Linked DNA regions of Caenorhabditis elegans. The protein of the gene in region 2 purifies or fractionates together with the protein of the main gene of each other region. This does not show direct contact. Each region holds a gene or a part of one and is shown on either strand. Other genes may lie near its edges.

Region 1 (9,999 bases), 4.7 Mb from region 2:
ATTTAGAGCATTACATTACAGAAATTCAAATTTTAAAGGTGGTGTAGTCGAATTTTTTTATTGTCTTATTAGACTCGATATTCTCTCAAAACACCGAGTTTCACAATGAAACTTCTTGAAAACTTTTCAGAAAAAAGTTATGACGGCTCTAAAAATGGCCTAAAATTAGTTAAAATCGGAAATTTGACCGACTTGTCAATGTCGCAGTGGCTGGAAATAATTTTTTTTGATATTACCGCCAAATTTTGAGTATACAAGTCGATTACCTCGCGTTTTAAACGAGTATTTAAAAATCGATGGACGGCGAGTTTTGGTTAAAAAAATTAAAAATCAAAGATTTTTTAATACCTTAATCAAGTTTAAAACGTAAGATAATTAACTTGTATACTCAAAATTTGGCGGTGATTTCAAAAAAAAATTGTTTCCAGCTGCTGCGACATTGATAAGTTGGTCAAATTTCCGATTTTAACTAATTTTAGGCCATTTTTTGAGCCGTCATAACTTTTTTCTGAAAAGTTTTCAAGAAGTTTCATTATGAAATTCGGTGTTTTCAGACAATTATGAGCCTGATAAAGCAATAAAAAAAATTCGACTACACCACCCTTAAAAGTGGGAAGTTAGGAAAAGTTATAGGATTTCGAGCTAATAAGGAATGTAATCAGTAGTTTTGTAGGGCAAAATTAGGTGCCTACAAGGCAGGCATAATATGCCTCGAAGATGCCTATCGATAGGCGATGAAACATTTATCTGACTACATGAAAACCTAGAATTGTAAAATTATTTTTGTTGTCTTAAAATGATAAAAATATAGTCTAAAATGACTGGCTGGAGTAGATAAGATTCTTCGATTTTTTTCATAGAAAGTTTTTTAAAAATCTATAGAGATGTAATGATAAAATTCAATTTTTCATCAAGTTTTGTTACTAATGACGGAAGAAAAATATCAGAAAACAACATCTTTTCTAAAAAAAAATGGCTAAAACTTGAGCCATTTTTGCAAAAAATGCTATTTTTCTGAAAATCGAAAACGAAAACACAATTCCGACAAATTTCCGGTTCGCCGATTTCCCGAAAATTTTCGTTTTCGGCAAGTTGTCGATATGACGGCAATGTGCCGATTTTCCAGAAATTTTCATTCCGGCAATTTTTCGATTGGCATTCGATTGGCACCTAGTAGGCATTTTGTGCCTACATGAAAACCTAGAGTTGTGAAAAGATTTTTTCGACAAACCGGCAAATTGCCTAATTTGACGACAAACCAATTGCCACCCACCCCTGATCTGGTACAAAAAATAATTTCGAATAAAAAGCATACATTTTTGAACTTTTAAGATTGGCAATGCTAATTGTAAAAAATTTGGAAAAAAAATACCAAAATATTCTAAACAATTCTTTTTTCAAATTTACTAATTACTAATTAAAAATTTTCCAGAATGCCATCTGCCGGAGGTCTTCACGGAATTCGTGCTCCATCAAAGGATCGTTCGACTCAGAAGCCACCAGCAGCAGCTTCTACTCCACAATCGAAGCAGTAAACGAATGTACATATGATCGTTGTCGTATTCCAATGGGACCAGCTTCATCTTCACCGCGAAAATTAATTTTAAAAAAAATATTTATGATGATTCTCATTGATTTTTTTGTCTCATCCCACCCCCTTATACCGTATTTTTTCTCTTCTTCATATCCATAGTTTTTGTTGAGCTATCTTTTCCCGTTCACCTTTTCGCGCGCGCGCACTGATCTACTAGTGTTCATTATTTCTGACTAATTCTGTATAATAGACCGGCCCCCACACACACATGTTTACAAAAAAAACCGGAAGCCCACACACACACACACAGATTTATTCTTATTATTATTATACCTTTTCTTTATCATTCAATCCAGTGAAATTCACATCCTTATTGTTGTGTCTCCTCCACCCGCCCGCCCGCCCGCCCGCCCGCAATGAACATTTCTTGTAGATTTCCCTCTTTTTGTCTGAATTTTGCGAAAGGTTTCTTCTGAGCCAAGTTTGTTATTTGAATTGAAATCATCGTTTATCTTGAAATTTTAGGGAAAAAAGAGAAAAAAAAAGCGAAAAGAAATTAGGAAAAATATTCGGCGGTGAGAATCAGAGGGGTTTTTGGAGGGGGACTACAAATTTTTGAATTTTTTAAAATTCACAAAACAAAAAAATAAGAAGGAAATGAAATTTTTTGATTGGGGGGGGGAATAAAAGGGGGAAATTGTACAATTGTACATGTTTTTGAAACAATAAAAAACTAATTTGCGATCAGTACGACTATAGAAGTTGGTACACACCAGAGGTGGGCGGATATTTTTTTCGGATATTTTCTAATAATGAATTTATCAATAAGTATTGATGTAGTTATTGTGGAAGAAATGTATCCGAACAAAAGAGTAACTATTAAGCAACATTTTAATATGATAAAACCTAGAAAAATTCTACAAATTTTCTGTATAAACGATATGCAAGTCCATTATCCGATATCCGTAAAATCCGATGTTGCTCGGCTAATAAGTTTTAAGGTCTCGGTAAGGAAAACTTGTTGAATTTTTCTAGGTTTTATCATATTAAAATGTTGCTTAATAGTTACTCTTTGGTTTGGATACATTTCTTCCAGAATAACTACATCAATACTTATTGATAAATTCATTATTAGAAAATATCCGAAAAAATATCCGCCCACCTCTGGTACACACATTTGTAATTACATTCAATTTGTGCATTTATTTACATTTTATCAGTTATTCTGCTGCTGCTCTGCTTCTTCCTCCTCCTCTCCAACCAGCTCCCACGAGTTCTCGGCGGTTGTCTCGTCTTTCAGTTTTGGCATATCACGGTACTCTTCATCTTCTTCAGAATCAGAAGAATCCGATGAGCAGTCCGAATCACTCGAGGAGTCACTGGAACAATCCGAATCATCGGATGATTCCAACACCTCGACGCCCAGATTCTTCTTGAGCTCCTCGTTGACTTCCTTCAGTTGATCTACCTGATCGTTCCAGCGTAGACGATCGAACTCTTGAGCCTCGGATTGTTCTTTGGCATCTTCGGTGAGCCGGGCGATCGAACGACGTGCCTCGGCGAGAAGATTTTTGTTGATAGATGAGGTCTGGAAGAGAGAAGAAAATTAGAGATTTTGAAGCAATCGTTGCGGTTTGATCTACAAAAAATGCGGGAATTTTTCTCCCAGTAAAATGTGACGTCATCAAACACTTAGCCACACGCTCTCCTCAAGGCCGAATAATTATTAGAGCGCGCTTGCTGCGCTTGGCGTTTCTGCATCCGTGGCATTTTGACTTTCCACTGAAAAAAGCAGATATTTCAGATTTATCGAATTTTTAGCTTTTAAAATTTTTTTTTCTGCATTTTACGAACAAACCTTTTGTTAAACAGTGAAAATCGAATTTAAAATGATACTTTTGAACTTTTTTCGTCCACTGGTTGTGAAATGGTTTGAATTTGAAGAAATCAACGGGATTTTTCTTATTTTCTAAATATATTTCTATTAAAAATCGGTTTTAAACCATTTTTTGACCCTAATGTTAAGTCACAAATGTATTAAAACCGATTTTTAATAGAAAAATATTTAGAAAATAAGAAAAATCCCGTTGATTTCTTCAAATTCAAACCATTTCACAACCAGTGGACGAAAAAAGTTCATTTTAGTCATTTTAAATTCGATTTTAACTGTTTAACAAAAGGTTTGTTCGAAAAATGCAGAAAAAAATTTTTAAAGATAAAAATTCGATAAATCTGAAATATCTGCTTTTTTCAGTGGAAAGTCAAAATACCGCGGATGCAGAAATGCGAAGCGCGCTCTAATAATTATTCGGCTTTAACGAGAGCGTGAGCCATGCGAAATCAGTTGAAAAGTCTGCGTCTCTTCTCCCGCATTTCTCGAAGATCAAACCACGCTGTCAGAGTGTCCCATTTCGGTTTGATCTACGTAGATCTACAAAAAATGCGGGAGTTGAGACGCAGACTTCTCAACTGACACATGGTTAAGAACGTGCTGACGTCACTTTTTTTTGGGAAACAATTCCCACATTTTTTGTAGATCAATCCGTAATGGGACAGCTTGGCACCACGTGTGTGTGTGTTCAAAAAGCAAAAAAAAAAGCACTTACCATTGTCAAATTTTTGAGCTTCTCCTCAAGATCTCTAACCGTTGAGTGTCGTTCTTCGAGGATTTGCTCCCGCTCCATCGCCATGAGCGCTTTCACATTTGTCATTTCCATGTTCGAGAACTCGACTGTCTTCCGCAAGTTGTCTGCCTCCAGCATCTTCTGATGCGCCTTCTTCTCCAATTCGTCGTTGGTTTTGACGAGATCTCCGAACTTTGTGAACAGTATCTCGGCCTTTCCTTTGTACAAATCAACATCTTTTCTGAGCCTGTCACGATCCATTTGAAGGCTTGATACACTGTTCTGGTACAGTTCGCACTCGCTTCTGTACTGGGCAAGCACGTTCTCGACCTTCTCCTCGAGACCTTCGTTTTGCTCCTCAAGATCTGTGATCTTCTGTTTCAATTCGATTCGGACGGAAGTTTCATTCTTCCATGCATTCACATCCTTCTTCAAGTCACTGAGCCACTCGACTTTTTCCATACGTTGAAGCTCACAGAGACTATTAAGCTTTAAAATCTCATCTTTCTTGGCAGCAAGCTCTTCACGGCGTTGCTCGGAGAGCCGTCTAATCGACGCGGTAAGCCAGGTATTCTTTCTCTGCATGGTTCTCAACTTTTTTCCTTCAGTCTTCCGTTTGCCGATCAACTCGTAGATCTCCTCTTCCAGCTCAGCACACTCGACATCCCACTCCTTCACTGCGTTCGCCTGGACTGATTTGGTATCACTCAATTGGACATTGAGATCATCAATCTCGGCCAGGAGTCGAGTAATCTGTCGTTGCGCCGCTGCTTGTTGCGTTGCCAACAGGCCCTCGAGCTCGTCGATTTTGCGGCGACATTCACGAGATTCCTCGTCGAAAATCTCCCGCTTGTCCATCGTTTCCTTGGTTGATTGGAACAACATTTTCTGCAATCCACCAATTTCATCACGAAGTTTGACACATTCAGCATTCCATTTCTCCTCGACGCGCTCCATGGCATGACAGAACTTGGCCTTCTCATTCGAGAATGTCATCGTTTGCTGGGCGTGTTTCTCGGTGATTTCGCCGATCTGTTGCTTGTAGGCGTCACGGAGCTCCTCCAGCTCTGTCATCTCCTTATTGAGGTTGGCAATTTGGTTCTCGAAGTTGGCACAGTCTAAGAGAAAGCTCTGTTGCTCGGCGATCAAGAAGCCCTTGTGGAAGTTGAGCTCTTCTTCCATCTTGCACTTCTCGACTCCTCTTCTTTCGAGATCAACGCGGAGAGCCGAATTGGCGTCTTCAATTTCCTCAATAGCTTCAAGAGCATCTTTGAGTTTTCTGTTCAATTCCTGAATCTTCATCTCATTCTCCTGGAACATTTTCTGGTCGGCACGAATTCCACTTGGTTTCGATGAAGATTTGAGTCGTTCAAAGTCGGCGGTGATGTTCTCAAGACGTTCGTTCCACATCTTCTCAGAGTTCTTCGTATGGTTCAAGATATCCTCCTTCTGAGCCTCTAGCTTAACATTCTCTCTTCTGAGCTGAGTTTCAGCCTCTTTGAAGTGCTCGGTCAACTTGGCCTTCTCAGTTTCCCACTTACGACACTGATCGTTCAGCTCGTCAAGCATCAACTTCATGTTGTCGGTATAACTGTTTGAGGCGTAGTCGGCCGGCTTATTGTAGAGGCTCTCCATTTTCTCAATTTCCTCGTGCAACTCATCGACGTCCTTCACCAACTGATTCCGTTCGCGAAGCATCTTCCCGAGCTGATCACGAGTTGTAGCCAACGTCGCCATCAATTCCTTATTCGTAGATTCCATGACTCGAATCTCGTTCTCAGCACTGGCGAGCTTCTTCTCGAGCTCCTCAACTCCCGGATGCGTCTCATTGCGAACTCGTTCTAGCTCGTGCTCACAGTCAGTGCGAAGAGCCAACGTCAGTCGAAGACTCTTATTCTCATCCTGAAGCTCGGTCACTCGACGCTCAAGTGAGCTGCTAGTCTGCTGATAGGTGGGAAGTTCCTGCTGCTGAGACATTTTGGAGATCTGCGGATAGGATGATGCTCTTCAACTGCCAAGGAGACGGGGCAGTGTAAAGAGTGTGAAGCGTTGAGTTTTCTACCTGAAATAGGGGAAGTTCGTAAATGATGGAAGCTTGGGAAAAAGGAAAAAAGGAAAAAAGAAAAAAAAAGTTGAGAAGAAAAGAGAAATAGGCAAGTAAGGGGCAAGAAGAAGCATAAGAGTCACGTGCGTACGCACACGAATACGCAGACACCCAAATAGAAATCGATAGAGAAGTGTGGCGGGGGTCCACGGAAGGTGTCCTGGTCTCTTTCCGTCTCTTTATTCTCTCTATTCTCTCGCTACACCCTTCGAACGTTCTCTGCTGTGCACACTATAGATTGGAGAACACTCGTCGGAAAATACTATAGATTTCTATCGTCCGGGGGACCGAGATGGAATCTGTAGAATTGTTGGAAAAGTGAGCAGGAAACCGGGAAGAGATAACAATTGAACGGGAAATTGGAAATTGGAAAACTGTAATAGTTTGGGAAACAACTACAGTTTGGCCGAAGTCTGAGGGCTTTTGAAGTACGATTATTCAACTTTTTGATAATCCAACTACTTCAATGAATAGTTTTTTTTTCCAACGTTTGCCGAAAGGTTTTCCTGTTGTGGAGCTGTCTGGGTGGAATCCAATTGCCGGAATTGAAAATTTCCGGTAAATAGGCAAAATGCCGGAGCCCCCATAGAGTTTTCGTTACTCGAAAAATCGGCAAAAATTGCTGAAGAATGGCCAAGATTTTCTCAGGGGTAAGCGGCAAATCGCCGGAATTGAAAAGTTCCGGCAAATTGGCAAAATGCCAGAATTGAAAAATTCCGACAAATCGACAAACCGGCAAAATGCCGGAATTACAATTTCTGGCAAATCGGCACATTGCCGGAATTGAAAAATTCCGACAAATCGGCAAACCGGCAAATTGCCGGAATTGAAATTTCTGGCAAAAAATCGGCAGATTGGAGGAATTGAAATTTCCGGCAAATTGTCGGAATAGAAATTTCTGTCAAATCGGCAATTTGCCAAAAATGACAAATTCCGGCAAATTGGCAAATTGCCGGAATAGAAATTTCTGGCAAATCGGCAGTTTGCCGAAAATGACAAATTCCGGCAAATCGGCAAATTGCCGGAATAGAAATTTCTGGCAAATCGGCAATTTGCCAAAAATGACAAATTCCGGCAAATTGGCAAGCTTCCAGAATTGACAAATTGAAAATTTCAGACAAAAATCGGCAAATTGACGGAATTGAAAAATTCCGACAATGATTTGTCGGAATCGGAGCAAACCGACAAATTGCCGGAATCGGAATTTCTGGCAAAAAATCGGCAATTTACCGAAAATGAAAAATTCCGAATCAGCTAACCGACAATTTGCCGGAATTGAAATTTCTGGCAAATCGACAATTTGCCGAAAATGACAAATTCCGGCAAATCGGAAAATTGCCGGAATTGAAATTTCCGGCAAAATATCGGCAAATTGTCAGAACTGAAAAATTCCGGCAAACCGGCAAATTGCCAAATTTGCCGGAAAATATCCTTGCCAAGCGGCAATCTCTATTGGCTGATGTAATCAAATTCCATAGGCGTTGCATCTCATCTTTTCACGTGAACAGCACATGTCAAATGTGAAAAACCGGCAAAAATTGAACTGATAAACGAAGACAATGAATGGAAAATTATACATACGATATGTTATAATGTGCATTTAATCTTATCTATCAAAAAGTTCAAGTACTCTTTTTGTTGGAATAAATTGGAAAATTCAAATTTTTCTAATTTCAATTTCATTTTGAAATGAAAGAAAAAAACTTGGTTTCTTATGTGACGAGAGATCACACTGAACAAAAAAACCAGCTTCCAAAACAACATCATCACGAGAAAACAGAGAAAAATGCGAAACAACAAGCAAAAGCTTGGGTGCCGCGTCTGCGTCTCTTTTGTATTTTTGTCGTGTTGTGTGCTTGGGGGGTCTGCTGACTTGTCTCGTCTCTCCATGAACGTCCAATGGAGCGCGGTTGCTAAGGGGTGGTAGACGCATTTTTTCGAAAGTGTGTACTTTGAACCCATTCTTTGCAAGTAGTCGTTCCTATTCATTGCACAGTGAAAGTTGGCTCATAACGCTCAGAATCGCGAAGTTTTCGATTATTTGAAGTATGTTTGCTGTAGATTCAACAAATTTTGGACCTTTGGCAGGTTTTTGAGCAAAAATCGGCAATTCTGGGAAAGAGGCAAACGTTTTTCCGGCAAGTCGGCAAATTTCCGTAATTGAAAATTTCCGGCAAACCGGCAAACTGCCGAATTTGAAATTTCCGGCACGTCGGCAAATTGCCGGATTTGAAATTTCAGGAAAGTCGGCATTTTGCTGGAATTGAATATTTCCGGCAAATTGTCGAATTTGAAATTTCCGGCAAGCCGGCAATTTGCCGAAAATTAAAATTTCTGCCAAATCGGCAAATTGCCGGAATGGAAAATTTCCGGCAAACCGGTAAACGGCAATTGCCAAAAATTTTCGGCAAAGTGTGGTTTTGCACATTCCCTTCTAGAAATTTCAATTTTGATCGGCAAATTTCCGGCAATTTCCCAAATTGCCGGAATGAAAAATTTCCGGCAATTGCAAAACTTGCCGAAAAGACGGCAATTACCAAAAATCAACGGCAAATTGTGTTTCCGTCTTATGAAAAAATCCCACTAAAATGTTCCGGAAAATCGGCAATTTGCCGAAACAGAAAATTTCCGGCAAACCGGCAATTGGACGAATTTTGCCGAGAATGAAAAGTGAAAATTTCCGGCACATGCAGAATTTGCCGGAAAAAACGGTGGTTGCCAAAAATTTTCAGCAAATGGTGTTTCCGTCTTATAAAAAAATCCCTCTAAAAGTTTCCGGCAAATCGGCAAATTGCCAGAATAGAAAATTTCCGGCAAGTTACCGAATTTGCCGAAAAAAACTTGTCAAAAATGGGCCGTTTCTGAGGAGTTTTCCCAAAAAAAAAACTGTAAAATTTCGGTTTTTAATCGAATTTTCACCTTTTTCTACTGAAAATTACACTGAATCTTGATAAAACTGCATGGCAAAAATTCCACAGAGTTTTATTAAATTTCAGTGTAATTTTTAGTCAAAAAAGGTGAAAATCCGATTAAAAACCGATTGTTTTAGAGGATAATTTTTAGTCAGGTGAAAAAAGAATTTTTAGTCAGGTGAAAAAAAGAATTTTTAGTCAGGTTTTAAAAGGTGAAAATTCGATTAAAAACTGATTTTTCTAGGAAATTTCCTAAAAAATAGGCTAGAAGCTGCACATTTTTGCCGTAACTTGACATTTTTTCAGTTATTTCCTAAAAAAAAGTCGAAAATTGACGGAAAACTTGAATTTTTATGTTTTTTCGCTATTTTTGTTCAAAAATCTCCAAAAACATGTGATTTTTTTCCAATTTTTCAAATTTCAGCCCAAAATGAGTAGACGTTACGATACAATAAAGCATCTTGGAGAAGGACAATTCGCCAACGTTTATCTCGCACAAGACCTCGAATCGGGCGAATGTGTGGCTATTAAAAAAGTATTTATACATTTTTCCGCTGAAAAAATGAAAAAAAAACCGCGTAAATTTGTAGATCAAACTAGGATCGAGAGAAGAAGCAAAAGATGGAATCAATCGAACGGCGATTCGAGAGATTAAACTTTTGAAGGAAATTCATCATGACAATATTATCGGGGTTTGGAAATTTTTGGATTCAAATTTGAAATTTTCAGGCCTAGAAGCCCAAATTAAAAAAAAAATCTGTGAAAATTAACTGAGAAAACCGATTTTTTGGCAAATTTTCCAACAAAAGTGAAAATTTAGTGAAG
Region 2 (7,300 bases):
TTTGCTTTTTATTCAACTAATAATAATTAGTTTGAGCCTTAATTTGTATTCGCAAAAAATTTTTTGAAATAGCTTCAGAATTGTAAAAATTATTTTCTATAAACTTTTGAAATGGAGAGCTTTAACAGAGGAAAACATTGACTGACTATTGATGTTGAACCGATTCGTCTCCGTCCCTTCTTTTCTGTTCTATTTGTATTTCATTTGTCGTTGAATCGTTAATCTGAATGGTCAACACTACAGGCTCTTTCTCTGGGTTCATAAGCTTCAGAAAACAATTGTTACAATGAGAAATGATGTGGTGTACTGTCCAAGGAGAATAAAGATCAGATACAAAAATTTTCAAAATTTAATCTACGTTTCAAATTTTGGTTCATTTCTCTGTTTGAATTTCCTTTGCCCTGTCTGATTGGTCATGGGGCTCTAATTTTTGGATGAAATATGAACAGGGGATATTCTAAAATTGAAAATTCGTGTTTTTCAGAATTGCGTTTTTCATTAAGTTTTATAAACCCACAAATCAATTTCAATATTTTTATTTATTTACAAAAGTATAGTTGAAAAACATAAAAACCTGACACGAAATATTAAAATCCAGAAAATTAAAATTATATCAAAGCACGAGAAATTTCATCAATGTTTTGGGTTCTCGTCCATCAAAACTTTGATGTTCTGAAGAGTTGCGTTGATAACATCACTGGCCTGTAACAATGGTTTAGGTTTTTTTTTGGAAACTATTTAATTTTACTTACCGAATTATTTCCTCCAATATCAGCAGTGTGAATTCTTTGTTCAACAAGAGCCTTCCACAATGCATCGGAAATAATATTAGCGTGATAATGGCATCCCAAATATCTCAACATATCAACAGATGCTCGAATGAACGCAGTTGGATTGGCAATATCTTTTCCAGCAAGAGAAGTTCCAGTATTACGAGTTCCTGTTTCAAAAACAGCATATTTATCTCCAAGATTCATTCCAGACACTAATCCAGGTCCACCGACAAGGCCACATGCAATGTTCGAAATGATATTTCCATAAAGATTTGGCATAACCATTACATCGAACTGTTGAGGTTTAGAGACAAGTTGCATTGAGGCATTATCCACAATCATTGCTTCAAATTTGATATCCTTATAATCTTCTGACATGTCCCGAACAACCTGAAATATCATTTAATATTCATTATTTTAGGCCTTAAATTGAAACGTTAAAAACACACCTTTAGGAAAAGTCCATCTCCAAGTTTCTGAATATTAGCTTTATGAACAGCTGTAACCTTCTTTCTTCCATTTGCTTTTGCATATTCAAATGCCATTCTTGAGATTCTCTCAATTTTCTCACGGGTGACGATCTCAAAGTATTTATTTAACTGAAAATACAGGAAAGTAGGAATTTGAACTCACTTTAATGCTTTCTACGATTCCTGGAACTGCTTCATGTTCTAATCCAGAGTATTCTCCTTCCGTATTTTCACGTATAAGAACAATATCAATTCCCTTAAAAATAAGAAGTTTTAACAATTGAATACAATTTTTTTAAACTCTCCAACTGAAACAAATTGGTAAGTTTACTTACAGAATGTCTGGTAGGTACTGTTGGAATTGTGACACAGTGAAGAATATTGGCATAGAGATCCAATTTAGTTCTGAGTTCAACGTTACGAGAGTTGAATTGTGGATCGTCGTGTTTTGTTTCAATGTTTCCCTGAAATTATTTTATATACATTAGTTGTAATATTTATATTTTGACATTAAACTAATGCAAATTTTTAATTCAATTCAAAAAAACAGAGGTACTTTTTTTTACAATTGAACAAGCAGGTATTTCACTAATTTTATTTAATTCATTACCTTTATAGCAACACCATTTCTTTCAATTGCCAGCATAGCAGCATCCATGTCTCCATCCAAAAGCGACGATGAGACTTGCACTTCTTCAAAGTTGACTGGAGCCTAAAATTAACATCTGTCTCTTTTTTTTGCTTCACCTTATCCATTTTGGTAGTTCTCAACATGTGAAAAAGGATTACGATTAACTTGTATTCTACCAACTTTTTAAAAAAATCAAAAAGAGTCGAGATACGAGCAATCAAAGTTGAGCAATAAAATCCAAAACTAATAGAAGAAAAACGATACTAAAAAAGCTTATGAGCAGTGAAGAATATTGAAATTAAATATTGTGTGTTTTAAACCCAAACACGGTTACGGTATATTGTAAATCCAGTTTAACGTGACTTTAAAATGATAACTTGAATATGGTTTTTAGAACTTTCACATTCTTGAAGAAGCAAGCTTAAATTCAAATGTGGGTACTTGTGTATGATACCCCCGCCATTAAACATTAATTTTTTACCTTATAAAATAAAAATGTGTGGAATTTTAGGCTTAGGAAAACAGCACTCCGAAGCCTAATAAGGAAAATGGGTATCACGTTTAATTTAAACAAATAAATTAATGGAAATTTGATTAATTTTTACAATGGCGGGGGTATAATACACAAGTACCCAAATGTGCATAGTAGACTTTATATTTTCAAGCATGGGAACCTACATGACAAAACGAGAAAATATTTCTGATATGGGCAATCATCTCGGGGCCAATTCCATCTCCAGGAAGGGCACAAACTGTATGTCGACCACCATATTTTGCTAGTGGGAGCTGAAAAAGTGATTATATTATGGTTTTTGGAAGAATTGCATTTTGCTACATTTTATTTTATAATTTTAATTTTCTGATAAGATAACTCTTACTCTGTGACCTGGAATTTGATGGGTACGGATTGCAGAGGCAGCTCCACGAACCGCTTGAATCGGAAGTTTTGAGAACATTCTTAAATTTTTGTTCTTTAGTTATAAAAGCTTCGTTATTGATTCATTGTCAGTTAGGAATTCGATTAGGAAGTTAAGAAGAACTTAAAATATCTCAAATTCGTAAATTTTTTTGCTAGAGACTGTCTAGTATTTCAAAATTTGAGACAATATGTATGTAGCTATAGAATATTTAATTTGAGAAAAAAGGTATCGATTAAATGTAGCATGGGATTCTCCAATGCTCAGGGTCCCGGGAACAAAAAGACGGGCGTTTTCATGAACATCTGCGTCTCTACATCTCTCTTATCTCTAACGTGGTAAACAACTTGGCAGGCACACACACATTTGTTCGGCTTATCAAGAAAGAAAAGAAAAGTTTGGCAGAGAAAATTGAAAAAGATAGGGAAGTGCGGCTCAATTCAGGTGCAAGAACACCCTGACACGTGTTGAATGTGGTCAAAATTTCAGAGTTTTGACTGAAAATTGATGAGACATAAATGGGGAGTTGTAATAAAAAATATTAGACGAATTGAAAGTTTTGTCACTAGTGGAAAAAAAACGATATGACTTCAGTGTGTGAGAAGATAGAAATTTCTTTATTTGGAAACGAAGAGTTTTAAATCATACTCCGGTGCGGGAAATGTTTCGCTAGGTGCTAAATTTTTCGGGATTAATCCTAGTTTTCTCTGGCCACTTCAAAATTTGAAACTTCATAGACTTAATTTTCTACATGAAATGAATTCTCCTGTATAACTTGGCACCTGTAATGACAACAATTACTGAGATCGTGGCGAGACCCACTCGAAACATTGGCAGTGCCTTTAAACTGACATGTCAAAACTTCGCGAAATCACGATATTTCTATACTTCCGATTTTATTTTAAAAAACTTATACAGTTCTTCTCAAGTTTTAAGATTGCTTGACACTTTTAAACTTTTTTTTAAATAAAAATAATATTATTGGAAATGTTCGTTTGCAATTTTTATAGTGAACTACGGTATGCAATCAAAGTACGCAAACACATCGACGCACTTCTCACAGACTGAGATTCGAGGAATTATTTTTTTTTATTTTCTCATCTGTTTTCAATCGGAAAATCGTTGCTCAAGATGACAATTAATCCGACTGATTACGTCTGTAAGTTATTTTATAAAATAATCTAAAAATTTTAAACACCTAATTTTCAGATGAAGAGCCCCCACTCACGCCTGATGGAAGAGTTCAATTTTTGGGGCCCGAAACTGTCAAGTACATTTCTCCACGAAGAGTGGAGGTTATGCGGCAACATATCAGACCAGAGTGAGTTGAAGAAAGAAAATTCATTGGAATAAATTCACAATTTACAGGATTTCTCAATATTCTCAACAACAACCGCCACCATATTATTCATCTCAAGTCTATCCATCAGTTCCATCTGCTCCACCAATTCAACCACAGCCTCAAATGGTTCCAGTTTCAATGCCAATGGTTCAACAGCAGTACATGATGCCCCAAATGGCTCAAATGATGCCTCAGCAAATTGTTATGCAGCAACCGATCATGACAACTGCAGGACCACAGATGATGATGACTCAGATGGCTCAAATGGCCAATCCAGTGCAGCTTGTCTCACCTCAACCGCCTGTCCAAGCCCCACCGCAACAGCAGGCGTCGCCAGGTATATTCGATAAGTAATATTAAAAATTATAAAAAAATTATACAAGATATATATATATGTTTCGGCGAAACTTCATTTTTATAAAATACTCGATACTCCTTGTTTTTTATTGAAATCCAGTCTCAGACATCGAGAAAAAAAGCGCTCGAACACAAAATTAGAACTCAAAAAACCGGATGTCCAATTTGTGAGACCTAGTCTAGACAAATTTATTTTTATTCATAATTTCAAGTTGCCATTCACCTTTTTTTAATCATCAAAAAGTAGAAATTTCCACTTCTTCTTTTATTTATCTTAAAATTTCAGCTATAACTCTGTGCGTTAACCAGTCTCCACAAATTGGTGGATCTCCCGGAGGAGGTGTGGGTGCACTCGTCTGTCCGAAATGTCGAAAAGGAATCATCATGCGAAAACAAGATCGATTGAGAAAGGTTAGTCATTTTTGCTGATTATTTTTAAAGTGCAACGAGATGATTTTGATAGTCAGAAACGAAAATATTATAAATAGCTGATTTACATGATAACTTCGAAGGTCGAAACTATCACACTTTAAAAATTTTATTTTTAAAGTTTTAATAATTTTTAGAAGATTTTGATGTGCCTTGCCGTGTGCTGCTGTCCTCTGACATGTTGTCTCCCACTCATTTGCATTTGTTGCAACTACGTTGACGCTTGTGGAGCCTGTGGCAAAAAATATGGGCACCGTGGAAGGAAGAACGCAAAAACCAAAGTGAATGCAGTTAAATTGTGAATTTGAAACATGTCTTGTTTGAAAATAGTATATATTTTTCTTTATTATGGCACCAATTTCCCACTACTAACTCCTATGTAAAACTTTAATTCACTTTTCAGTTAACATTATTGCATTTTTTATACTTTGTTCTATTGTTTGCCAAATTCACCATATCAATTGTTGTTGAAAATCTCAAAACATCTGTCAGAATTAGATGAAAAATGTCATCATCGTCTTCATTTTCACACATCCTATTCCCTTTCCAGTTTGACTCGTCTACTGATTGGGCTAATCATTTCATGAGCTCGCGCTTGTGAGCTCAGCTTCATCTCATTTGCCCCTTTTCATATGAATTCTCTCCTTAACCTGAAAAATGAGCGCATCTTTTTTCCAGATTTTTCAGCGTGACGAGTGATTTTTAGAGATCAGAACTCTTTTTAAATTGTTCTTTCTTGAATTATTTTTCCTTGTTCGCAATTATCATGGGTTTGATATTAATTTCAGGGTACAACAAAAAGAATGGATAAGTATACTCAATAGATTTATTTCGATAAATTTGAATTCGAAGTTATCTCTGAGAAAAGTACAAAATGCGTTCTATAAGGAAATGGAGTGGTTCTAGACACAATCGGCAATCGTTGCAATCAGAAGGTATAAATTGAAATTCAGGTGTCCAAATTTCGACCGCTCGTATTGCATAGACATCTAGGGATGATAGTGTTCTCCAATTTTAAGCGGAATGGTCTCGCCGCGCAGCCAACAAATTACTGGAACTCGTGTCATATTGTTTTAATTGAATTTTAATATCAATTTATAAAAAGTCTGAAGAACATCAACAAACCGTAAATCGACACGAGTTACAGTAGTTCGCTGTCTGCGTGGCGAGACCTTTCCGCGTAAAATATAGCTAAAATATTCGTCTTTAGACGACAACGGAATATGATTTTATTCTAATAATTTCAGCTACAACATGCATAATCAGTGAATGTGAGTACGATGAGGAACAACGAGGCGACCGAATTTTTAATCCGAATCATGAGAAATACCTGTGTTGTTGTGGTCATGCACATTCTTTGGTGAGTAATGTAGAGTGAAATTATTTGTTATTTTAATGATTCAAAAATAAATAATTCAGACCGGAATGAAAATTGTAGCAGGAATGTTGTGTGTTACCGTAGTTTTCGAACTTTGGCATCTCATTGTATCCATCTTAGCATCGGAATTGGTCGAAAGAGTAAGAAATTAATAATTTTTAAATAATAACTGGATCAATAACTTTCAGGCGGATGTAACTGGAGCAGCTATTCGATTTTTCGCTGGTGTCTTCATTGCAGGTACAGTACTCTGGGCGATTTTCGCGCAAAGAGCAGAATTTCTTGTGCCGTATCTTCTGTTACAGGTGAATTCGAAAAACTGATATTTGGCTATAAAACATAATAATTTCAGGGTGCTGGGCTTGCCATCGGCCTTATCTTTTTCGTTTCATTCATGTATATCGGTCTTTTTGGAGACAAAAAAGTTGGCACAACAGTCCTTGGATCATACGGTATTCCAGTAAATCCACGTGATGAGACAGCGTATTTCAGTTAGTTTTTATGTTTATTTTTCAGATTTAATTCATCATTTTCAGATTATGCTGCCTGGTTGATGGCTGGATCATTCGCGATTGTCATAGTCCTTCAAATTTGGATGATGATGATTGTTGTCGCGTGTTGGAGATTTTTCAGGTAGGCACAGGTGCTGGTATCTAGTAATTATTTTCAACAACTTTAGAGACAAACGTAATAACGAGAAGATTTATAAGGAAGTGGTGACGGTGAAGAAGATTCAATTGCTAACCCGAATGAGAATATCCCTTTCCGCGGAAGCTCTTGGTTCCGAATCATCACATACAAAAAACTGGGTCAAGAACCGCTCTTTTTCTGCGTCTCTCGATGTTTAACGCGTTTTCCTTATTTTATTTATCTTCAAATTCTCCATGTACACATCCATGCACACTTGTTGAATAAAAAATTGGAAAAATCGTTCTCTGAAATAAATTACATTCGAAATACGCGCCGTTTTGAAAATTGAAAGTTCGCTCTATTGATACACTCT
Region 3 (8,289 bases), on a different chromosome or scaffold from region 2:
ATTTTTAGGCCGAAAATTATCAAAATTTTACATTTTTAAGTAAATTTCAGTTAAATAAGTCAAATTTTCAGCCAAAATTTCAGCCGCTTTTCTCTCACCTGTATCTCATTATTCAGCTTCTCGTCTTCTCGTTCAACATCTGCCAATTCTTTTTGAATCGTCTCTTCTCTTTCCTTATTATCAGCAATTAATCCAGAAATACGACGAATCTCGTTACGAAGGAACTTATCACGATCATCGACCGACGAGAATTGACTGCGTTGGCCCTGTTTTGCGAGAATCTCTTTTGCACGGGATTCGTCAATTCTGATGTCGGTTTTCAGACGGGATTCCTCTTCCAGAAGCTTCTGTAAATTGGATTTGGGTTAAAGTTTTTGTTTCAAAATGAAAATTTGGGCATAGCTTCCGCATCTCCGGTGACTAATGTGAGCTATTGGCAATTGAAAGGCACAGAAATCCGATATTTTCCAGTTTATTTCGTGGAAAATAACGGATTTCAAGCCGAACAATCGCTTTTAACTCACACAAGTCACAACATTCGATTTTTTAGAGCATTTCAAACTAAAAATTCTAAAAATACATAAAATTTTCACCATTTTAAATTAGATTTTTTAATTAAAAACTAGCAAAATATGGAATTTTTTCTCGGAAAAGATTCAGCGAAACATTGCAAAATTTATTAGTTTCTGGGAATTTGCAAATTTATTGAGACTAAAATATGTGTAAAATCAGAATTTTTCGATTAAAACTGGGAATATCTCAATTTTTCTAGATTTCGAAGCAAAAATAACAATTTTCTTCCATTTTTAATCTAGAAATCAGAGAAAAACGGGAAAACTTGAATTTTCCAGTTAAAATTGAAAATTTGGGCATAGCTTCCGCATCTCCGGTGACTAATGTGAGCTATTGGCAATTGAAAAGCTCAAAAATTCGTTTTTTCCAGTTTATTTCGTGGAAAATAACGTATTCCGAGAGCCGATCGCAATCGCTTTTAGCTCACACGAGTCACAATAATTTGAGATTTTATGGAATTTTGGATTTCAAATATTGTTAGAATCGAGTTTTCGGGAAATTTGCAGCGAACAATTGCAAAAATGACATTTTTCTGGAAAATATCAAATTCTTTGAGATCAAAATATGTGTAAAATCCCGAAATTAGTGATTTTTTTTTTGAATAACTCCTACCGATTTCTGTCAATCGAGTTTATCTTAAGCCTTTAAGTCGTAAAATTCTAGAAAAAAAAACCGCTAAAAGACTAAATTTTCACTGAAAAAAACTGAAAACAATGAGCTGAAAAGCAATGTTTGCTGAAATCTTTACAGAATATTTTCAAAACCCCGAAAAGCTCGAAAATTTGCCAGAAATTGGTTTTTTCCCCATTTTTTTAATTTCTACTGCGAATTTCAAAAAAAAAAACAAAAGTCAATTTATGCTTAAAAAAATTCCAATTTTTTAAAATAGATTGAGAAGGCTGGAAACTCTTACAGCATATTCAGGCTTAATCGTATCGAGCTCCTCCTCGTTCTTGAAAATCTCATCACCGACACCTTGAAGCGAGTGTTCCGCGTTTTGACGTCCCTGGCGTTCTCTGAAAATAACTTATATATTTTTTGTTTAAAAATCGGTCAATTTTGGTAATTTTTTTAGCTCAAAATTTTCCGCGAAAACAAAAAACGCTGAAACTCTAAAATTGGTTTTTAATGGATTTTTAGGTGAATGTCTGATAAACTGGTAAATTGAGCTTTAAATCAATGATAATGAAAAATTGGAATTTTTTCTTTAAATTTGTATTGATAATTTCAGCAAAATAAGCACATTTTCCAGGCTTTTCCAAGATTTTAATGAATTTTTCCAGGAATTTACTAGATTAAAAGTAGCAATTTCAGTAAAACATTCACATTTCCACTGCAACTTTTTCCTCACGAGGGACGAGGACAAGTGGTTTCTAGGCCATGGCCGAGGGGCCGACAAGTTTCAGCGGCCATTTATCTTGCTTTGTTTTCCGCCTGTTTTCTTTTGTTTTTCACAGCTTTTTCCCGTTTTTTCTTATTAAAACTGATAAATAAATATTTTTTGCAGATGCTAAAACAATTTCCAAGTGAAAAAATTATGTATTCAGTGGGCAAGCAGCGGTGAAAGTGGGCATTGTAATATGATGGATTACGGGAATACAAAACCTAAACTTTTTCTGAAACATGATACATATGCTGCTTAAATGCTGAAACTACCTGATTTTCATAACGAGACCGCTGAAAAAGTTTTGAGGTTTTCAAAATTCAACTTTTTGTACGAAAATCTCTACTTTTTCACCAAAAAAGTTGAATTTTGGAAACCTCAAAACTTTTTCAGCGGTCTCGTTATGAAAATCAGGTAGTCTCAGCATTTAAGCATCATATGTATCATGTTTCAGAAAAAGTTTAGGATTTGTATTCCCGTAATCCATCATATGACAATGCCCACTTTCACCGCTGCTTGCCCACTGAATACATGATTTTTTTACTTGGAAATTGTTTTAGCATCTGTAAAAAATTATTATTTATCAGTTTTATTAAGAAAAAACGGGAAAAATTGGTGCAAAACAAAAGAAAACACGCGGAAAACAAAGCAAGATAAATGGCCGCTGAAATTTGTCGGCCCCTCGGCCATGGCCTAGAAACCACTTTTCCTCGTCCCTCGTGAGGAAAAAGTTGCAGTGGCAATTTCATTAAAATATACGCATTTTTTTGCCAGTGATTTTCTCTCAAAAAAACCTTGTATTCTCCTCATTCAACGAGTCAATTTCAAGCTTCAACGTCATTTTCTCCTCAACCATTTTAGTTTCCTCAGCCTGAAGTGTCTCTTTATCCTCACGAAGTCCTCTTCCAAGTGATTCCAGCTTCTTCTTATCAGTTTTAAGCTTTGCCATTTCAGCAATAACATCATTCAACTGACTTTTCACATTATTATCCTTTTGATTCAGTTCAACTTTCTGTTCATCAAGCTTTGTTTTCTCTTTTATCGCTTCTTTATTTGTATTATCATACATTGTATATTCAACACTTCGCTTCGTTTTATCCAATTTCTGATATTCTTTCAAATCTTCTTTCTCGTTTTCAAGAGTTTGGAGTCGTTCGTCAATGTATTTCAGAAGGCCTTGGATTTTTTCCGTTTTCATCTCTGAAATTCAGGAAAAATCGATAAAATTTCAAGATTTGAGAATTTTTCTTCAAAAAAAAGGGTAAATTTGTGATTTTTTAAAAACATTTTTTTATGTAAAATTGCAGAAAAATCAATAAAATTCCCGATTTTGTGCACTGTTTTGTTCAAAAAAGGTTAATTTCAGATTTTTGAAACATTTTTTTTGAAAAATTTGAGAAAAATCAATTAAATTTCAGGTTTTGATAATTGTTTTTCTTCAAAAAAAAAAGGGTGAATTTTCGATTTTTTGAATTTTTTTTTGTAAAATTGCAGAAAAATCGATAAAATTTCAAGATTTGAGCATTTTTTCTTCAAAAATGTTAACTTTCTGATTTTTCAAATATTTTTTCTTGTAAAATTTGAGAAAAATCGATAAAATTTCACGTACCTATTTTCTTCGAACTATTTTCTTCGAAAAATTTCTTAAAACTCTTAAAAAGCTTTTTTTTTTTAGTTTTTTTAGCTAAATTTTTTTGAAATTTCTGAGCTTTTTGAATATTTTACCAGATAAATTTTTCGGTCGAAATACCAGATTTTGAGCACTTTTTGTCTTCAAAAATCTTCAAAAATCCAGTAAAATCGGTAAACTTCAAGCTTTTTTGAATGAAAATTTCAATAAATTCTGACATTTTCCAGAAAAACAAGCGATTTTTGTTGAAAATAGTCAAAATTTGGTGATTTTCGTAGCTTTTTGACAATTTGCAGTCATTTTTCAGATAGAAAATCAATATATAAAGGTGAATTTCCACTTTTTTGAATAAAAATGCACTAATTTTTGAGAGTTTTTTTTGAAAATAGTCGAAATATGCTGACTTTCGGAGTTTTTGGACAATTTCCAGTCATTTTTGCGCGACTTTGCAAAAGAAAACCAGAGTTTTGCTGAAAATGTGCAATTTTTGCATACTTAACACCAAAAACCATGAAAATTTGATGATTTTCCAGTCATTTTTCAGCAAAAAAAAATCATTTTTCTAACGTTTTCACCGAAAAAACAATTATTTTTCAGGTACGCACTGGTTTCCTTCAGGATTTTCAGACTTTCTTCCTTTCTTTCATCGTAAACTCGTGTTCCGGCGACTTCTCTCAGTAGCTTTAGCTTATAAGCGTCCGGCGAAGTGGCCAACTCGTTGATTTTTCCCTGTTTAACGATGTAATACGGGTTTGAGCGAGAAAATCCGGCGGATTCCATGAGATTTACCACCTGAAATTGAGGAAAAATCGATAAATCTCGAGGTTTTCCACAGCTGGAATACCTCGGCACGTGGCACCATTTTATTATCAATGTAATATTGATCCTTTTTCTTTCCAACTTGACGAACAATCTTCACTTCTGAATTTTCAAACGCCATTAGACGCTTTTCCGAGTTGTCAAAGGTGATTTCGACACGAGCGTGGGCGACTTTCGGTCCGGTACTCTCGTGAAGCAGACCAAGACGTTGTTCTTCTTTCAAATGAGCATATTCATCGGAAAGAACGAATTGAATCGCTGAAAATTGACATTTTTCAGCTTTTCCGCAGAAATTCATGCGGCTAACCATGGAAAAAATTGGATTTTCCCGATCCATTTCGTCCGACGACGACGTTCGAGCGTGGACTGAAGCCCGACACATTGGTGTTGTCTTTGTAGCTTCGAAAGCCGGTGATTCTCACCTGAAAATAGGGAAAAATCGATGAAAAACTTGGGAAAACTCACTTCTTTGATCTTCATCGGTTTATTGCATCAAGTGATGGGATGTTGACTGAAACATCGATAATATAGATGAGAAAATCGCAGAATTTAAGTCAAAAAAAACTTTTTGAATGAGGAAAATCGATGGAAATCGCAAAAAACACTGAAAATCAGCAAAAATAAATTTCAAATTCAAAGCGAAGAATTCGCGGGCGCGACCCGGGACTAGAAATCCCCACTCGGCCACCCGGTGTGTACTCCTCTCGGACAAGGATATTTCGAAAAATGAGGGTTTTTCCAAATAAAAACGTGTTATTCTCGGAAAAATACTAGAAAACCACGGAAAAACGTGTCTAAAACAAAAAACTAAAGCAGAATAACAAAAAATTATTTATTTCAATTATTTCTCACAAAAATGAACGGAGTAGCTGGCGAATCGCCGAGCTACGACGAGTACCTGACGTATTTCACACCGGGCGATCGAATTCTGATATCGGAAAATCATCCAAATCATGCACAACGCCTCAATTCGTACAATAATGTTGCGTGGACGAAGACACATTTGGCTGTGAGTGGCAGAAAAGAAAAAAATGCTGAAATCTGAAATTTTTTGCTGAGAATCTCTTCAAAACAGGCAAATCTTCAACATTTTCAGCTTCTCGGTCACATTGGCTATATCGAGAGCATCAACGAGCACCGGCACACTGCAAATGTTCGGGTTTACTACGCAGTTCCGCAAAATCCAGAGCTTGTAAGCTGATTTTTTGAAGATTTTGTGTAAAATGTGTGATTTTTCGGAATCTAGCGATCTTTTTTGTACTTTTTTCCATTGAAAATCGGAAAAAAAAAGTTTAAATTGCTTGGATACTACCGTAATCGTTTAAAGGCGCACACATTTTTACTGATCGCGCCAGGAGAAGTATTGCGAAAGTGGCGTGCGTCTTTAAAAGGCTACTGTAATTTTTGATTTTCAATATCGAATTTTTAAATGAAAATTGGTTGATAACGGTACAGAAACTGAAATCTTCATTGAAGATACTTAAAACTTTTCCTGAATTTTTTTGATTTCAAGCTTTCAGAGGTAACACTGAAAAAAGAGCCTTTTTCCGAATTTTTCATCCCAAATTTAAATTTAAATTTTCAGTTCAAGCTCTCTACCGAATGGCCGCTGGACGCGTTGGAATTCCCTCAATGTATAGATCATTCAAAAGGTGATCTCGTTGCAATAACCCGCGGAGATCCGGAAAAAACGACAATCGGAATAGTGGCAACGAAGGAACCATTGAATTTAGGTGGAATTCCGAAGCATTTGGTTCAACTGAAAAGCGCCTCGAATCCGACGATTACCCGGGAGATTCAGGTGGCGGTTAATGCGAATACGGGATGGACTGATGAGAGACGGGATATCTTTTTGTGTCCGGTTTATTCGGGTCCCCGATTGTCAATGATTGCTAGAGATAATAATGAGCCGTCGGTTCATACTTATAAGGTAGGTAACTTCAGGCATGTCTGCCTCCAAAACTGCCTGCCTACACGCTTATCTGATTATGTGCCTACCTAGTTGCCTACTATCGCAATAGCCTGTCAAATTGTTGTCTGATGCTGAAAATGCCTGAAAATGCGTCCGCATAAAGCTTGTCTGTCTACATATTTGCCTGATTGTTCATAGGTAAGCTTACAAACCTACATACCTACATGCCTACTTGCCTACACGCCTGCCTCCGCGACTACCTGCTTGTTTTTTTCCTGCCTTCCTACATGTTTGCCTGAAAATGCGTCTGCATAAAGCCTGTCTGTCTACATATTTGCCTGCTGGTCCATAGGTCAGCTTACATGCCTACATGCCTACCTGCCTATCTGCCTACCTACCTACATGCCTACCTGAAAGATAAATCGATTTTTTCAGCACACAATCCACGGCTACACCCCGGACACCTTAATGCAAGTGATCGCGAATTGGGGTGAAGACGCGCTGAGCTATGCGCTTCTCGTCGAATCGATCCGATCGGATCCGCAACAAGTTCGGACCCTTTTCGACGGTCAACTGCCACTTTTCCGTGCTGTCGCCGATGATCTACGGAATGTTGTTGTGATGCTTGTCGCGTTGGGTGCAGATAGAACCGCCAGAGATTCCGAGAATCGAACTATCATTCATGTGGCTGCGGAGAGGTGGGAAATCGTAAAAAAATCGATTTAAAAAAAAATTAAAAAAATCAATAATTCTTGCAGAGGTCTTGACAAAATGCTGGATACTGTAATGCTTCTTCTCCCAAAAGACATCAATTCACAAGCGGCCAACGGTCTAACACCGCTTCATTTGGCCGCCCGTCACGCCCACGCAGCTTGTATCGATCGGCTTCTCGGTACGAGTACTTGTATTCCGTGTGTTCCGAACAATTTTGGCGACACACTTTTGCATGAGGTGTGCCGGCTGCCAGAGTCTTCGAATAAGGTTTGTGTTATTGATTTTTCCGAAAACTGACCAGAAAATCGATAATCGCTAAAACAATTTCAGAAAGCGGCAATAAGTAGAATTCTGACAAATACTCGTGCGAACATTCATCACGTGAACAATAGCAATATGACACCCATCCAAATTGCAATTATGAGTGGTCATGTCAGGTAAAACCTCTATTAGAAGTGCACCACCCCCTCCAACATTTTCAGCACCGTCGAGCAGCTTCTCCTGTTGCGTGCCTCCTACCGTAATACCACCTCGAAAACTGGAATGAGCGCATTGCATTTTGCCGCTGCCTCTGGCCATGCGAATGTTGTCAATAAACTTATTTCGGTAGGTGAAAAAAATTAGTAGTGTTGGTGGCCGAGGTTTATGCAAAACTCGGCCACGTTAGTTTTTAGGATTTTTTTGCCGAAAATAATGAATTTAAGATCAAAATTTTTCTCGAAAAATTTTAATTTTTCGCCAAAATTTTTTTTCCAGAAATTTGAATTTTCCGACAACTTTTTTTAATTATTTTCTTCAGCTTGGCCTAGAAGTCCACCGTCGTGACAAGTTCGGTCGCGGAGTACTCCACTACGCCCTCGAAAAATGGACAGGAGAAGCGGAAAAAGACTGTAATCGGCTTGCAGCAATTCAGGCTCTCGTTAAAGCCGGCGCTCCATCGAATATTATCGATTTGAATGGACAGACACCGGTTTTCCAGTTGATTCGTGAAATGTTGAGCAATTCGGAGCAATATCCGGCGTCGTTGGTTCCGGTTTGTGCTCAACTTGTTCGTACGAACCTGAATCTTGATGAGATGGCAAGCCGACTTCGTCCGATGTGGCAACTTGCCACTATTTGCTTTTTGGTTGCTAATGGAGCGGATTTGAATGTCAAGTTGGTCTATTTTTTTTAAAGAAAATCGATAATTTTTCTCTTTTTCTGGGAAAATCGATATTCTTCAAGAAAGTCAATATTTCGGATAAAAATCGATATTTA
Region 4 (7,152 bases), on a different chromosome or scaffold from region 2:
GCTCGTCCGCTTCATCGGCGGCAAGTTGCTCGTCCGCTTCATCGTCTGCTGGGGGCAGCGTTGGAGCTCCTGATGTTCCTTCTCCCGGCTGAATTAAGGCTGTTGAGAGGTTTTAGCTAAAGTTTTAACATACTCTGTATCTCACTGCTCTGTCGGTGAGCGTGTTCGGATGGGTTGTGTCTTCACTTTCTTGGAATATGTGCCACTCGTCGGTGACCTTGCAATCTTGCTCCACCTCGTTCCATTGATCTTGGGTCCAAGTTTCCGGCGGCTGAAACTGGTAATGTGTTAAGCGTGCTTTTCCTGACAATGGGCTTACCGGAGACTGTTTTACTGGCTTGAAGCCTTCGCGGTCTCTGACGGTTGGAGTATACGTCTGGGCAGCCAAACCAGCGGGCCATGTCGGTGCACGAGTGTTGGCACGCTGTAGATATATGATGTTAATTAGAATATTATACTGATGGGCTTACATCTTTAGTCTGTCTGTAGGTTGTGACAGCTTTCGCTACTTCCATCAGATATGCTGCTTCCGGTGGTGTCAACTGCGGGGTAGGCAAGATCTTATTGACATCGTATTCCGCCGGGACTAAAGTCGGGTAGTGAACCGGTGCATTTGTCCTGTTGTTAATGTAGTGGTAGAAGGCCAGCCTGGGAAATTGCTTGTCGTCGTCAAAGAACGGACCCCATCCTGCGATGTCGGCTCTTTCTCGTACACGTTGGCAGATCAAGGTGTCGGCGCTGTCGAGATACGTGGCATATTTGAGTTGACCTGTGATTGCTGCTTTCTGGATGCGTTCGATAGATTTTATTCTCGAGGTTTTGACGTAACGTTCTTGTTGCTCTTGCCAGTAGGTTGAATCGATTCCGATATTTTCTTCACATATCGCTTGCTCCATTTGATGGCCGAAGTCTCCACAGTTCTCACATTTCCTCGGTGAGCAATGACGTGACTTGGTGTGATCTGGGCTTCTGGAGTGGCAGTGTTGGCAGTACGCCAGGTTATTGATAGCCTGGAAGCGAAGTCTCTGAGCAGGGCTGAGCTTGTTGAACGGGCATCCTCTGACTTTGTGGTCATTCATGTCAAATCCAAAGTAGTGACTTCCACACAGGTTGCATCTGCCACTGGGCAGCGACGGATCTTTGCGCGGAACGTTTTGGGCACGAGCGTTTTTCAGGAAATAAACTTCCAAATCCTTACATTTGCCGAGTTCGGGGCAGCGGGTTAATGATTCTTCCAGATGGGTTTGAGGGTCCGGTCTACTTTCGTTCCAGACGTAGGCACGCAGTCCTCCTTTTGCTAGTGGGTCTGCGGGGACATATTCCAGGGGCCAGTTTCCTTCACGATCGGCGAATACGATGATGTCCTCGTCGGTCAGCGGGACGGATCTTTTGAGGAGGGCAGCCAGTGTACAATGTGCTGGGCCTTCGTAGTTCTTCCTAGGACCCTTCGGTGGATAGGCCGCTCCAGGTGGGTTATTGTTGAGTGCTGCGTTTGCACGGAACATCTGTAAGATTATACATCAATTACAGGATTACTTAGCACTTCGAAAGTTGTCGAGAACATTGATACTCACTGTAGATTGTTGAGAGTGAAACGGGTAGTTGCGCGGTTTCAAAAATTCAAACTGAATTGTGATTCTCTATTCCTGCGGTGTATTGTGCCGCCACGTGGTTAGGTTGCGTGTGAGATGGCGCCACGTGTATGGGTTTCGCCTAAGTTGATAAATGTAGGGCACGCGAACGTGAAACTGTATATCTCTTCTTCTTCTTCAGTAGCGTCGTGGAATTATAGCGCGTATAGGGCGTAAAGGAGGGGCTAGAGCTAGGCGCGCCTCAATCTCTGCGATGTGCAATGTCGACGTTATTGCAAAAACATTTAGAATGACTTCCCGTTCCTATTATGGTATTCGAATAATCCTTCACCCGTCGATTAGGGACTGTCCTGATAAGGGAAATTGTAGATCAGGGGATGGGCATGCTGCCACCAATGAGCATCCTTGAAGCGCTCTTATTTACCATAACCGGTACTACATTCTTCCTGTTTAACGTGGGGGTAGCTAATCCCTTTCACCGCTATCCTCAATGTGTTGGAGGTCTAATCCATCCGCTTCTCCAATATTTCCACGCGTATAAAATCCATGAGCTATCGCAACGCTGTGGATAGGGGCGTTTGCGTCTGTCCTGATTCGGAGCAATAGAGCGATGTCATTGGGGGATTGTACGACACGCTGACATTAACTGTGAGTTAATGAGATGGTTGGTGTCCTGATCTCCGAGTTGTGAATGGGGCTCTTTGATCAGGTTGGGGCTGCGAGTTTCGACCCCGTTGCTTGAAGCTCTGACCTAAAGGGTATGGGCTGTCAGGTCCTTAGGCGCTGCGAATAAATGTGCTTCGCGGAGTTAGCGCTTCTTTTCCGAAAGTTGCAGGTATTAGTGCAGTTGTAGAGCGGGCGGTGGTGATTAGCGCCGGCTTAGAGGTATCTGCGTCTCTATCTCCTATCCGTGGGGGTTTTGAGCTGGATTAATTTTTCCGAGTGGATCCCTTTCTCTATGTTTTGAAAATATCTCGTGAGTGAGTGACTCTTGAACGGATAAATGAGGTGATAATTGAAGAAGTTCGACGATGAGGCTTTATTTAGATAAGATCCCATGAATGGGCAGCCAAAAGAACAATAACAACAGTAACAATGGTAAGTGGCTTGGCCACAATAACAACGGGTTTAATCCAACAACGGGAATGATAATGAGGAGGGGGCAGCGAGTATGCAGAAGCTTAATGGTAGCTGTCTCTGCGGCGTCCTCAGCCTCCATAGCGGTTGTGGCGGGAACGAATTGGTCCTCTGCGGCCTTTTGGCGAGTAATCCTGAAATGTTACTGTTCTGTTTCGTTGTGTCGTGAGGATACGCTTACACGATCGGATGGGGATCCCTTGCGCTCGAGCTTGTACTGCTTCGAGGTGAGCATTAGGCAGAATGTGGCGTTGTGGTGAGTCTGGGCGATTTCTCCTGGCTTCATGTATTTGGTGCATCTGGTGCACTGCTCCTTCTCCTTTGGGCAGCCTTCGTGGACCCAATCGTCATTTGTCACGCCGACTTCGAGGCATTGAATGCACATTTTGATCTTTTCGGCTTCCTCGCGACGATCGAGTCCATTTCTTATAATGGTGCAGTTTTCCGGAGCGTGATGACGCTTGCACAGTGGGCACTTCTGTAATATTCATGAGCATATTCTACCCTGACATAGGAGAAAATATAAGTCTCACCAGCGCTGGCTCCAACGATCCCTGTCCTCCTTGTGGGGTGTGGCGCTCGGCTTGCTTTTGGGCAGCCTGTTCCTCACGAGCGTCGATTTTGGCGATGGTTTCGCTCATCGTCTTCATGTTGGTGGCGACCTGAGCGATGTCGTAAATGATCCTGTCTCTCGCTTTGGAGGCCATACGATTGTCCTCGGCTTGTTGAGTTCGCTGCTCCTGGACGTTGGCAGACATCATGTCCGCGCGCTGGAACATTCCTGAGACCTTTTGGGCATAAGTATCCACATTCTTTTCGGCCAAGGCGTGATCCGCCTTCAGCTTCACTATCTCGTCGCTGAAGGAGTTGACCGCCATGTCGAGTTGCTCGTTGAATCTCCCGAGCTGATCAGCCAGTTGATCGGCCATTTCCTTTTTGACTTGGTTGAAGAGTGGCTTGATGGCTTGTAAGAGCTCTGAAACGGAGGGTTTATCAATTTTAGCCTGCATAATTAGTTTTTTCTCCTCACCATCGGCTGGGTCTTGAGCCGTCTTGCGTTTCTTGGTGGTGGGGGCAGCCTCAAATTTGTCGCGGAGTGACATGCGATCCTGGGCTTTTGGGGCTTTCTTGGGCGGCGATTTTCCTCCTCCGGAGCTTCTCTCTTCCTCGTCCTTTCTGGCATACTTGAACGGCGTGTACGGCGTATGTCTCGGATCTTCGTAGACCAATAGTGGAGATTCACTTTCTTCGCGGGGCATGATGGCAGTTCTGAATGAAGGAATGTTAGAGCGATTATGATTGAGCGAGAGTAGATATTATCACGGTAATTGCAACCGGTTTCCAATAACGTAAATGGCATGAATCAGTCAAAACAGAACATTTATAATGCGGGTGGTCAGCCGCGCCAACAAGACCAATCAACAATTAATTAGATTTAATCGGATGCTTCTCCCACGTCTTCGACGGCTTCTGCTTCGTCGTGGGCAGCCTCTTTATCCGGAGGGTATATGGGAAGAATGGTGATCCATTGGGTGTCTCGGAAGCTGTCGGTTCTCAGCAGTTCGACCAATTTTCGTCTGAATTCCGTGGTGGTGTTGACGGAGTATCGGAGACTGGATGCGGTCAATCTTGTCGACGTCCATATTGGTCTTGGCATCTCGGGCTCCGCGCCAACTCTGATGAAGTGTTGATCCACTGATGCAGTGATCTGAGCCACTGGTCCTTGGAGAGCGTGGGCAGCTCTTGCGATTTCCTTGCGTTTGGCCGTCACCGCTCCTGCGATATATGGAGCTTGCTCGACGACGTTTCCCTCTTTATGGAACGTGTTTCCTTCGGTCTTCTTGAAGAGGGCAGCCATTTCCGAATGCTGATAGTGGATGGTTACAAACGCGGCGATTTGCTTCGGTTGGGAATCGCTTTCCTTGAATTGAGCCTATAGATTGATGATAATCCGCTTGAAGGGACGTGGGCCGCTCTCTAGGATGAGATTGAGCTGGCGAGAGATGTGGGCTTGTTGCTCGAAGAGCTCGTCGACTCGATTGCCAATCGCGGTGATCTGGGTTCCGATGCGGGCCACAGTTGCTTCCAGTGGAGCCACAACGTTTGCGAGGGCGGCCGTGGGGGTGATGGAACCACTTCCTACAATCGAATTGGATTTTTATGAGAGTTTTCTATGAACTGTCATACCTGCGCTGGATACGCTTTCTTCTTCGTCGCTTTCGCTGGATGGTTGCTCTGGGGAATTGCTGGCTTCATAGTTGATGGGCGGCTGGGCTCTCGCGTGTGTCGCCGACATTTCTTCACAAGCCAGTTCCATTGCCAGTTCGAAATCCTGATCCATGCGTGGATTCCTGCCGGAAGAGTTGGAGGAGCTGCGGGCAGCCTCTAAAACAATAAAAATTGTTAGTCATTTCTTTATACTCTCGATATTAACCTGGCGAAAAGGTCCTCATGGCTGGCAATCTCGCGTTGGTGAAGAAGTCGGCGAAGCTTGATGCTTCTTCGCGGAGACGTCGGAAGCTCTCCCTTTGATCCTGAGCGCGTCGATCAGCGTTTTGTCTTTGCTCGTCGTCAGCTTGTTCTGCACTCATTCGTAGTCTGGCGTCCAGGACCGCCGCTAATGCCTGACGCTGTAGCGAGATGATTGACGCTGGTGTTGGAGCTCTGTCATCTCCTGAGCTTCTAGAAGCTGGGCAGCTGCAGGGCAGCGGAGGATTATCGTCGTCGGTGCTCTTGTTTGGCATGTCCAAGCGTGAGTGTGCTCGATCCTGGAAAATTGCAGACTTATTGTGGATAGGACGTCACAAAAGTGTAATAAATGAACGAGTGGAGCGAAGAAATGCGTGAAAATCCAGAAAAAAATCCATAAAACATCCAAAATTAATTTTGGGATTCGAAAGTAGAAAGTCCGTGATTGTGCGGCAGATCGTGTGCCGTGGTCGCAATTGTCTACCGTAGTCAGCCAGAAATTCAATTGGCGGCAATTTAAATTGCGATTTTCCTTGATTTGGAGGCGGATGGAGATTTCCGAATTTGCAGAGTAGATTTCCGGGGTAATTCTTCCGGGGGGAAGCCGATTTTTTGGCAGTTCCCACTGGCCTTTTATCGATTGACCAGAAGCCGTGAGGGCAGCGATTGCTCGGCTCTGTCCTGAGGAAGTAGTGGTTCCTATGACAGTCAGATCGGGCTGGAGAGGGATTTCCAGATTGCAGATTAATTTCCCAATAATAGACGGCGATATATCACTTCCCGCCGGCTCCTTCCGGGGGGGGGGTCCTTCCGGGGGGAACTTGGTTGCGGCTCCTGGCGAGCAAGGCTCAGCTTCTTCCTATCGAATTTATATCCCGCGACATGGCGCGGCTCCAATCGTTTCGAAATGCTTCTTCATCACGCTGGGCGTGGCGTCCAAGTCTTTATTCGTCCACTTGGGTCCTACATCACGCTGCGCGTGGCGTTCAAGCTAACGTAGAGCTTGAGTCAACTTCCTGGCGAACAAACAAACAAACAAAACGAACGATGGAGAGAAGAATCCGTCCGGTGAGATTTTTACTTCCCGGAACGGAGTTAGAAGGCCAAAGTGGTTTATTAGAATTAAAAATCATATAGAAAACAAGAAATAATTCCTCCTTGCGGCGATATCCAAGCTTTCCGATCCTAGAGGTGATTTGAATCGATTTTGATTGATTCTCCGGGACAGCCGAGATCCTTTGGCGGTAGATGGTTCAGTGGCAAGTGGTTTGATGATTGGAGTTTCCGGGAGCCATGTAGATTTGCCGACCTCCCCTCACGCGTGGCGTGGCTTCCAAGTTCGTATTGAGCACTTGGGCTTCCTGAGAGCTGCGAGATTAGCTCTTTGCGTCACTTTTCTCTCCTCTTCTGTGCCATTATTGCAAATGACACAAAAAAATTCGAGAATGGACATTCCTGATTCAACACGGCTGAGCATGGCAACCAAACGGTAGTTGCCCGTTTGGGAATCCGATTACACGTCTAGCATGTCTTCCAGGCAGAGAATCGCTGTCCTAGGCTTTCCAAAACTGCGAATCGCTTATTCTTCACAGAAGAAATTTTTTCGACGAATATCCATCGGCTCCACTGCCGTGCCACTGCTCTTCGAAGATTTTTATAAAGAAATACTCACTTTCTGCGGCTAGGTGCGCATTCCTGAATCCTTGCTGCAATTGGGCAACTTATCGACCATCAGTTGAGTGTTGAGTGAGCTGCGGGGATTTCTTCATAAATTGAGCTGTTGGGCACGAATTCCTGGATCTTCTGGGCAGCCGATTACGTCGTAGATGAAGTTGGGTTCAGTGGTAGATTTTACACGTCTGGCATGTCTTCCAAGCGTTTTGCGCCACGCTTGGGATTTCCTTACACGGCTAGCATGTCTTCTAAGCGGTATTTGCCCCGCTTAGGATTTCCT

The links.
Region 1: the proteins of C30F12.4 (region 2) and Y39G10AR.11 purify together in Caenorhabditis elegans (affinity purification with mass spectrometry, with the first as the bait; one large-scale study listed by BioGRID). This does not show direct contact.
Region 3: the proteins of C30F12.4 (region 2) and smc-3 purify together in Caenorhabditis elegans (affinity purification with mass spectrometry, with the first as the bait; one large-scale study listed by BioGRID). This does not show direct contact.
Region 4: the proteins of C30F12.4 (region 2) and ZC15.3 purify together in Caenorhabditis elegans (affinity purification with mass spectrometry, with the first as the bait; one large-scale study listed by BioGRID). This does not show direct contact.

What each region holds. Positions count from the first base shown.
Region 1 is NC_003279.8:2,289,353-2,299,351, reverse strand, and holds Y39G10AR.11 (TPR_MLP1_2 domain-containing protein), read right to left. Parts: upstream 6,226-9,999; 5' UTR 6,136-6,225; coding exon 4,141-6,135; intron 3,123-4,140; coding exon 2,751-3,122; 3' UTR 2,024-2,750; downstream 1-2,023. Other genes in the region: tpxl-1 (TPX2 domain-containing protein), read left to right, coding at 1,433-1,535; cdk-7 (Cyclin-dependent kinase 7), read left to right, coding at 9,605-9,709, 9,765-9,866.
Region 2 is NC_003279.8:6,970,292-6,977,591, reverse strand, and holds C30F12.4 (LITAF domain-containing protein), read left to right. Parts: upstream 1-3,895; 5' UTR 3,896-3,922; coding exon 3,923-3,950; intron 3,951-4,000; coding exon 4,001-4,112; intron 4,113-4,159; coding exon 4,160-4,470; intron 4,471-4,776; coding exon 4,777-4,901; intron 4,902-5,056; coding exon 5,057-5,221; 3' UTR 5,222-5,435; downstream 5,436-7,300. Other genes in the region: idhg-2 (Isocitrate dehydrogenase [NAD] subunit, mitochondrial), read right to left, coding at 634-702, 753-1,163, 1,223-1,354, 1,407-1,499, 1,579-1,707, 1,854-1,955, 2,553-2,660, 2,753-2,830; C30F12.3 (Conserved plasma membrane protein), read left to right, coding at 5,794-5,854, 6,167-6,279, 6,339-6,437, 6,486-6,602, 6,650-6,788, 6,834-6,930, 6,977-7,145.
Region 3 is NC_003281.10:11,287,539-11,295,827, reverse strand, and holds the start of smc-3 (Structural maintenance of chromosomes protein 3), read right to left. Parts: upstream 4,925-8,289; 5' UTR 4,887-4,924; coding exon 4,872-4,886; intron 4,829-4,871; coding exon 4,714-4,828; intron 4,665-4,713; coding exon 4,432-4,664; intron 4,380-4,431; coding exon 4,193-4,379; intron 3,158-4,192; coding exon 2,752-3,157; intron 1,590-2,751; coding exon 1,487-1,589; intron 348-1,486; coding exon 99-347; intron 1-98. Other genes in the region: mib-1 (RING-type domain-containing protein), read left to right, coding at 5,263-5,415, 5,503-5,598, 5,992-6,336, 6,754-7,016, 7,077-7,299, 7,363-7,469, 7,515-7,638, 7,832-8,187. UniProt on the Caenorhabditis elegans protein: Involved in chromosome cohesion during cell cycle and in DNA repair. Involved in the repair of double strand breaks during mitosis and meiosis. Required for chromosome segregation during mitosis. Central component of cohesin complex.
Region 4 is NC_003283.11:20,300,456-20,307,607, reverse strand, and holds ZC15.3 (CCHC-type domain-containing protein), read right to left. Parts: upstream 4,021-7,152; 5' UTR 3,989-4,020; coding exon 3,760-3,988; intron 3,706-3,759; coding exon 3,263-3,705; intron 3,208-3,262; coding exon 2,911-3,207; intron 2,864-2,910; coding exon 2,801-2,863; 3' UTR 2,700-2,800; downstream 1-2,699. Other genes in the region: ZC15.1 (C2H2-type domain-containing protein), read right to left, coding at 1-88, 134-271, 320-424, 471-1,505.